Linked DNA regions of Canis lupus familiaris. The protein of the gene in region 1 purifies or fractionates together with the protein of each later gene. This does not show direct contact. Links are inferred from orthologs where the notes say so. Each region holds a gene or a part of one and is shown on either strand. Other genes may lie near its edges.

Region 1 (4,957 bases):
AGTACCTGGGACAGGGCCAGCTGGGACAGGGGCCTGTGTGGGTGGAGTGGGGACACGGCCGTCAGTGTCCTGTGCTCACCCACTGGCCCAGGGGTACTGAACTCGTGGGAGCCAGGCTGGCATGACAGCAGGAGCCCCCAGGCCTGCCCAAGGACTCTCTTCGCTCTTTATTTCCTTTCATTCACCCATGCACCCAAATCTCCCACCCATCTAGTGACCACCCCCCTCAACTACCCAACTATCGTACACCCAAACATCATTCATCTACTGATGTAACTGATCAGCCAGCCAGCCACCAGCTCAACAACTTACCCACCATCCTCCAACACCTCATCCAGTCTTTAGCCATCCACCTGTCCATCTGTCCATCCATCCCTCCAACTATCCAACCACCTATTAGCTATCCATTGCCTATCAATTATCCTTTATTAACTCATCCACTTCGTCAGCCAACCACCACCTCCTCAACACATCCAATTACACATTTACCATCCACCTCATTACCAGATTACCGTCTACCTACCCACTATCCGTCCATCGGCTCATCCTATTGTCCGTCCTGTCATCCCACTCATCTTTGTACCATCTCCCAACCCTTTGGCTGGCCATCCATCCATCATCCACCCATGCAAACCTTCCACTCATTGTACCCCTTCCTTCTCACCTCCTATCCACCCACCCTCTGCTTTATCTCACACCGATATTGTCACACCGCACCCACTGTGCCAGGCTCAGCACACATGACGCAGTGCTTGGGGTCCCACCTCCTTCTGTCCCACCACACGGTGGCCAGGCCCAGCCCCTGCAGGGCTGCCATGATCACGTTGACATCATAGTTGCCGGTGCCGAGGAGGCTGCGATGGGGATTCAGCCGGGAGTCTGGGGCCAACCTGGTCAGGGGATGGTCAGAGCTTGAGCTGGGGGTCCCTGAAAAGGTCTTGCCCTCCCTACAAAGCAGGAGAGTCCCAGGGACCTTGAATCATCCAGCCTTTGGACTCTTCCCTTTGCTCAACCCCATGGCTCATCAGCCCCAAGCCTGATCCCACCGTCCCCAACTCTCTCTGCCCTGTCCTATAGCCACATTTCCCTGCGCAGGCCTTGTCCTCCCTGACCTGAAGCCTCATCTGGTCTCCCCACCTCTCCTCCAGCCATCCCCCAGCTCAGGAGGCCCACCTTGCCACTATTTGTCTCTCTGGGTCCTGCCTTCTCTGAACAGTGACACCTTTGTTCTTTCTCTTGGCCCTTGGTGGGCAGGGGGAGGGGGAGGGGCAGGGGCCTGAGAGGGAAAGTCTGTGTATTATTTTCCTGCATATCTGTTTGCCTGACCTCCCTCAGGGCAGGGCCTATACTGGACTCATCTCTGGGTCTCCAGCATGGCCTCAGCATCCAAGAGTTGATGGACCCCTGTTGTGAATGGCAGAGGAGATGAATAAATTCTATAACAATTGGTCTGAGGGGCTGGGACTCTGCCTGAGGATGCTGGAGGGTCCATGGGAGGGCTGTAAGCAAGAGTGAGGAAGACAGGATCATCTCTGGGTGGAGCCTCATGTGGGTTACTGAAGGAGGAGGGATCCAGGCTTGGGACGGAGGCTGTGGGGACAGAGAGGAGGAGACAAGGCAGAGCGGGAATAGAGGAGCGATGTTTGAAATGTTGCATGGTGAGGAGGAACATTCCCGGCTGCCAAGAGAAGGAAGCCGTGCCAGAAGGAAAAAAACAGCCTGTGCAAAGGGCCAGAGGCATCATAGCAGGGCTCATCTGGGGACTGGGAAGAACTGTGATTTGGGGGGTGCAGTGAGCTAAGAAACTGCAGAGGAAGGTGGGGACCCACAGCATGCAGGGCCTGGGGTATTAGGCTGCAGGACTTGGGACTTCTCCCAGGGCTGCTGAGGAGCGGTGTGAGGGCTGTGAGCAGAGGAGGGCGGGGTTGGCACTGTGTATAGTGTGGACAGGCAGGGAAAATCCAGAAGCTGGGAGGCTGGAGGGGATGTGAGGATGAGGATCCAGATAAGGGAAGGTGAGGTCTGAGCTGGGGCAGTGGCGTGGCCATGGTGAAGGGCAGGTGTGGGCAGCAACATCTCCATGTCCCAGGCTCAGGGTTCCCCAGGTGGGTGTTGGAAGGCCCGGGGCTCTGTCCCTGCCTTGCTGTGAGACCTGGTTGGGTCGCTCTGCTCCCGAACCCTGCTTCTCCAGGGGTTAGGGCGGGTGACGGTCACCTCTTGCAGATCTCATCGGCAGCCTCCTGGCTAAAGAGCTGCTGCTGCAGGACGTTGTTAAGGGCGTGGACGGCACACAGCTCCAGGCGTTGCCGTTCGTGATAAACGGAGGGCCGGCTCGGCTGTGCTCCTGGGGCCTGGGACATGCCGTCCTCGGCTCCTGCTTGGGGGCGAGGGAAGAAGGTACTTGGGGGCCCGGGATCTGGAGGCCCAACCTGCCAGCAGGTCTGGGGGGCACTGCCGTTGAAGTGGGGGCTCAGGGCAGCCCAAGGGGACACTGGGCCGCTGACCCTGGCTCCCCAGGCCTTCTCCTGGCAACGGGGTACCTCCCTCCCCTGTTGCTAGGAAAAGGCCTCTCCTACTCACCTAGCAACAGAGGGCTACCCCTGCCACATCCCTAAGTGAAAGGGATGGTGGTCACCGAGCAAACCCCCTCCCCTGTCCCTAGGTAACGGGGTCCTTCTCTGGTTCCGTAGCAACAGACGACCCCCTCCCCAACTAGGTAACAAGCCTCTCCTCTGGTTTCTTAGCAATAGAGAAATCCTCTCCCCTGTTTCTAGGTAACAGGGTCTCCTCCAGTCGCCTAGCAACAGAAGACTCCCCTCCCCTATCACAAACAACAGGGTTTCCTGCTCCTGTCTCTCGGCAACAGGACCCCCTCCCCGGACACCAAGGAACAGAGCCTTTCCCCCCGACCCATACCCCAACCGCGGCGCTCGCCCGTTGCCTGGCAACGCCCCTCACCCCTCCTGCCTCTCTGCTCCCCGAAACCAGGGGTTCCCGCATCCCCCTGGGCGGCGGCTGTGGGTTCCGACCGCGAGGCGGGCAACACCGCGCGGTGACTGGCCAGGCCGGACGCACACAGCTCCCAGCGGCCCCCGCGTGCCGGACTACAGGTTCCGGCGGCCCCCGCGAGGCCCTTCGGCTTGGATCGGAACTTCCGGGGAGCTTGGCTCGGAAGTCCACTGTAGCCGGGAGGACGCAGAACTGCAATTCGGTCGCTGCGGCGAATCCCGGAAATATGCCCTACAGGGCCCCTCCTCTTTGCGTGCAGGGGCCACGCCCCCTGATGCTCGGAGGATTCTGGGAAATGTAGTGTGTAGGCTCTCGCGAGAGCTCCCGGGAGTGTGACTCCCGCAGGTGCTCATCCTCCATGGTGGCACCAAGCCTAGTGTGAAGTCGCCGCGTGACGTCACAGAAGGGAACCAAGGGACCAGAGACAACGGACCATGCAGGGAGAGGAGCTTCCAGTGTTTACTGAGACAGCGGGGAGGCCCGGGATGGGGACGTAAATGAGACGAAGATGTCCACCAGGGAAGGAGGCGGCTTCTCAGCAGAGATGGATCCCCGGCCTGGAGGGGAGCTGGCAGCAGCCTGCGGGGGTGGAGGGAGATACAGGGAATAAAAGGCTGGGACCGCGCGATGAGGAGAGTCAGACACCTGCTGGGAGGGACCGACCCGGGTGGGGGAGGAGACACACAGGGAGAAGGGTGGTGGGATCCCAGCGAGAGGCAGAGAAGGGAGGTTCCTACAGGGATGGGTCTCTCAAGAGTCAAAGCCGGGGAGGAGAAAGTGAAGGAGACACAGACATAAAGATCAGTCAACTAGAGACCATATCAGACCCGCAGACCCAGACCCAGCCGGGACCTGGGCTCTGCGGATTGCAGAGCCAGGGCCTGGGGAGAGGGGCTGCAGGGGCCGCACCCAGGAGGCTGCGCCAGAAGGCGGTAACGGTGGCCGAGCCCGTGACGGCGCCTGGCTCAGCGGGATTCTCTCTGTGGGTGTGCACAGCAAAGCTTCGGCCCGAGGGGCCCGGCGGGCCGCTCAGCTCCACCTCCACCACATGCATGTCTGTGAGGCTGGGGCAAGCAGGGTGGTGAGCCTGGCTGGCCTGGCCCCCCGCCTGACCCTCCCACACGCCTTAGCTCACCTGAGATCAGCCACAAGCACCCCGACCACGTGGTCAAAACCCAGGCTGGGGGCGGCCAGTGCAGCGGCCGCCATGGTGTTGGAGTTGCGAGGGGCCAAGGGGCAGAGCCCACGGACAGGGCCTTCGTAGAGCACTGTGCGAGGCCCAGTGCTGGGCACTGCAGCCAGCCGTCCCTCGAGCCGGAAGCCATCGGGGTGCGTGGCCATGGTGACACGAAGACTCTGGAAGTGACAGCCAGGGTGATGGGGCCGGAGGTCTCTGGAGGCCCCCTCTGGTTTGCCCGGGATCCCGGCGGGTCCTCACCTGGAGGCCCCCTGCTGCGTCCAGTCTGGTGATGTCCTCAGTGCCCCACAGGGCCCCCCGGGCCACGAACACGGCATGGTGCCAGCGATGCGAGGCCTCTCGCAGCTGCTGCTCTGTGGCCTGGTCAGCCAGGGCTGAGGGGGACCCCACCTGGGGTGGATGGAGGTGGGGGGGTTGCTGAGGTCAGGGGATGGATCCCACTGTAGGGTAGGGTGGGGCCGAGGCAGGCTGGGCAGGGCTCACCAGGAGGTTGGAGTAACGCAGGATTTTTGCCCCAGATTCCTGGATTATTTTGGGATGGGCCACTTCCACCACAAGGTCAGGGTGCCTGGGGGAGGGGAGAGATGGGGGAGGGCCTTGGAGAGGCATTGCAACTCCCCTCCTCAGACTCCCTCAGAGCCTCTGGAGGCCCGATGCTCTTCACCCTGTTCTGAGGGGAAGCAGGATGGTTTGTCCTGTCTCACGTTTGGCCCAGAGAGGGTAAGGGACGTGCCTGGGATCACAGCACCT
Region 2 (3,211 bases), on another chromosome or scaffold:
TTGACCGAATGTATAATGAAGTTAAGAAGACCAAACAAATACTTAGAAAATGACATAAAATTCTGAATTATATGTATTCAGGTAATAGAATGTAAAATAAACCCATAAGAACTAAGGATCCTAAAAGCAAAGCAAACAGTATGGTATTATTATTAGATTCCTTTCTAATTCCTTTCTAATATCCTCAGGTGTTAGTTTTCCAGAGTAACGCAAAGTCTAGAGTCTAAGACAGAAGAAAAATTCAAGTTTCTCATTTTTTAGTCTCCTGCTATCCCATCTTTTTTTTTTTTTTTTTTTTTTTTTAGATGCTAAAGATTATTGCTTCTTTCATATCTCCCTTAACTTTCTGGGGAGAAAGAAAGCTTTAAGGACAAGACAGCTAGTAAGAAAGAAGCGTTATGGCTTTGAACAACACTCAGCTTGAAGCTCAAGCAACAACTCCTTAGAATTCTGGGCCAGTGAGCCAGTTGAGCATTTTTCTTTCAGCCTTGGGAATTAGAAGATGTCTTCCAACTTTTTAAGGCCTAGCCTGGAAAGAACAGCCAGACAAGAGGCATGAATGTTTATACCAGGGTTTTTGTGATCTGTTCCAGATGAGTATGTGGCAAGCCTACACCTGCCCACCTTTGATGCCCACCTGACAGAGTTGACAGATGAACAGGCCAAGTATCTGGGACTCAACAAGAATGGGCCCTTCAAGCCTAATTACTACAGGTGCCTTGCCCCCACTCCACCCCTGAAGACAGGAAAGCCTGGGTAGAAAAAACTTTCTGCACTGTCCTTGCATCTTTCATATTTATGTGAACTCAGAAAAAATAAACCCACTCCCCGTCACTGCCACCTCCAAAGGACTCTTTGAGGCCTTCTCCAAGTATTAATGTTCCCTTTCTGAATTTGCCTCCTTTTTTTTAAGATTTTATTTATTTATTCATGAGAGACACAGAGAGAGAAGCAGAGACATAGGTAGAAGGAGAAGCAGGCTCCTTCTGGGGAGCCTGATGTGGGGACTCAATCACCAGACCTGGGATCACACCCTGAACTGAAGGCAGATGCCCAACCGCTGAGCCAACCAGGTGTCCCACCATTTCATCTTCTTGATACGATCTTTACCTCTTTATGGAAAAAATACCGGTCTTTTTCACTGATGTGAAAAAACACCACAAGTATCTACCCTTATCATACACTCCCTGCATCCCTGCTGCTATATACCTTAGGTGGGCTCTTCATGTCCCAGCATCCTCACAAGCCGATAACATCACCCTCTCATCTTTCTTTCTCCCTCTAGGTATTAAGTTCCTGTAATTCAAGCCAGAAGAAATTTTAAGGAATAGAACTCCAAGTCTTTTCTCCACTCCTATACAGAAAAGAACCCAGCAAGCTGCTTCTCCAATCAGCTGCCCGCCGTGCTCACCCTATATGTTAGGCTATTTATTTATTAAAATCTAGAATCCTGTGCCTGTTGCCTTGGCCCAGAGTGTGGTTACTGCCCCGAGGGCTGTGAGAGCCATGAAAGACAGGCTGAGGAAGGAAAGATATGGGGTAATCCTTCCCACTCTATCTTCTGCATCATTCCCCACTGACTTGGAATCCTCAGCAATGGTCATTTGTCTCTTGTCCAGGTTCAGGAATTAGTCCAGGAATTCCAGACTCCTTGTTCCCTGGGGTTTTCTGGAATAAATTTTCAGCAGTTGCCTTTTTCAGCTTTGGCTTTTCCCCAGGTGAGGCCTTTTGGAAGCCACTGAATTAACATGGCCTGGGTTCCCAGCCTTGACCATCACTATCACTGCCTTCTTTATAAAATGACTAGGAAGGAAGGAATGTTATGACTTCGGCAAGCTACATCAAGAACTTAGCTACGCCAGTGCTTATCAGGTGTCTCCTTCCTTACCCAGGACCCCTTTCTTCCTTGAATATTCACCTCTGTTTTAACACTTTCTGGTTCCAAGAGGAATGTGCCTCCATTATTTCCTCAGCAGCCCTGGTGTTTGTCAGATATTTGTGTTACCGTCTTTCTAACCCAACTAAACTTTGCTCAGGAAGTGGGGGCCAGCCTTACTGGGGCCCATAGTTTTACTTGTCATTTAACTGAACAGTTTCCCAGGAAGTTCCTTCTAGACTGGCACTGGCTCAGAAAAGGAGAGTTTGTTATGAAACTCTGCTTCCTGAAATTTCCTCTTATTGCCTAAAACTGCTTTTGAAACTGAGCAGGGAAAGATGTACTTTCCAATGGATTTGAGGGTGGGCTTTGGAAGTGGTATAGGCCATTCAGGCCCACAGTTTGATACTCTGAAGAAGCAGAATGTATGTGTTTGTCTCCTGGGAAGGGCTTTGCAGCTTAACAAGCCAAGCTATACAGAGATGACACTGTAAGCCGTATTCAGATGATTAAAGCTAGTTTGACTAGTTCGAACCTTCTCATACATTCATTTCTTTGGCCTTTGCCATTGATCAAACTGAGATCTGATGTCTCTATGATTTAGTCCATGGTTTTTCTTCTCTCCTGGGATATATTTTTATATTCTTGCCTCTTCCATCTTAGGATTCTATATTTCAGAGGTGGCCTCTTGAGTAACTCCAACATCAAAAAATTAGTAATGTGAGCAGCCTGAAATTTTATGTCCCACATAAGAGTTGGATACCTTTTGGAGATTAACTTGTTGGTCTTAAGGGTTTCATCGGGACCAGACCGGTTTTAAGAGTTAGTCCAGAGTGGCCCTAGAAATCTTGGATGAAGTGTGTCCCTTTCCCCCCCGACAACCTTCTTTAACATTCTCAGATCTGTCTGTCTGTCTGCCTGTTTGTTTGTTTCTTTTCCCATTTTTTTTTTCCTAACCTGGTCTGCCTCATAGTCTCAAGACCAAGATGACTCAAGGAAATGCCACCAGACCATCCAGGATCACTATAACCTTACCAACCCCGATTCTCCTCTCCTATCTCCACCTTCTTCAACTTCCCCTGGTTTTCACATATACTTTCAGCGCTAGTCGGGAAGTGACCTTCCTTTTGGAGGTACGGAGGTGGGCTTTGGGTAAATGGCTACTTGCCTCATTAAATAGTATACAGCCTCAGCCCATAGCATCTGGTTCCTCAGAGGCTGTATATCTTAGCACATACTGGAAAAATGCCACATACATGGCTATATTCTTTCATGAGGAAGATCGTAAATGCTGAAAATTCCACTAGGCCACAAAGTTCTTCCTTTTGCCTACCC

What was found.
Region 2: the proteins of JOSD2 (region 1) and AHCYL2 purify together in Homo sapiens (affinity purification with mass spectrometry; 3 studies listed by BioGRID and IntAct, counting the BioPlex papers as one, with this or other methods). This does not show direct contact. The link is inferred for Canis lupus familiaris from reciprocal best matches to the Homo sapiens genes JOSD2 and AHCYL2.

What each region holds. Positions count from the first base shown.
Region 1 is NC_049222.1:106,898,667-106,903,623, reverse strand, and holds the start of JOSD2 (josephin-2), read right to left. Parts: upstream 3,263-4,957; 5' UTR 2,917-3,262; intron 2,378-2,916; 5' UTR 2,361-2,377; coding exon 2,215-2,360; intron 1,450-2,214; exon of another isoform or gene 891-1,449; coding exon 765-890; exon of another isoform or gene 34-764; coding exon 1-33. Other genes in the region: ASPDH (putative L-aspartate dehydrogenase), read right to left, coding at 3,545-3,588, 3,919-4,073, 4,145-4,365, 4,448-4,597, 4,691-4,775. UniProt on the Homo sapiens protein: Cleaves 'Lys-63'-linked poly-ubiquitin chains, and with lesser efficiency 'Lys-48'-linked poly-ubiquitin chains (in vitro). May act as a deubiquitinating enzyme.
Region 2 is NC_049235.1:7,204,577-7,207,787, reverse strand, and holds the end of AHCYL2 (adenosylhomocysteinase 3), read left to right. Parts: intron 1-593; coding exon 594-714; intron 715-1,285; coding exon 1,286-1,292; 3' UTR 1,293-2,410; downstream 2,411-3,211. UniProt on the Homo sapiens protein: May regulate the electrogenic sodium/bicarbonate cotransporter SLC4A4 activity and Mg(2+)-sensitivity. On the contrary of its homolog AHCYL1, does not regulate ITPR1 sensitivity to inositol 1,4,5-trisphosphate.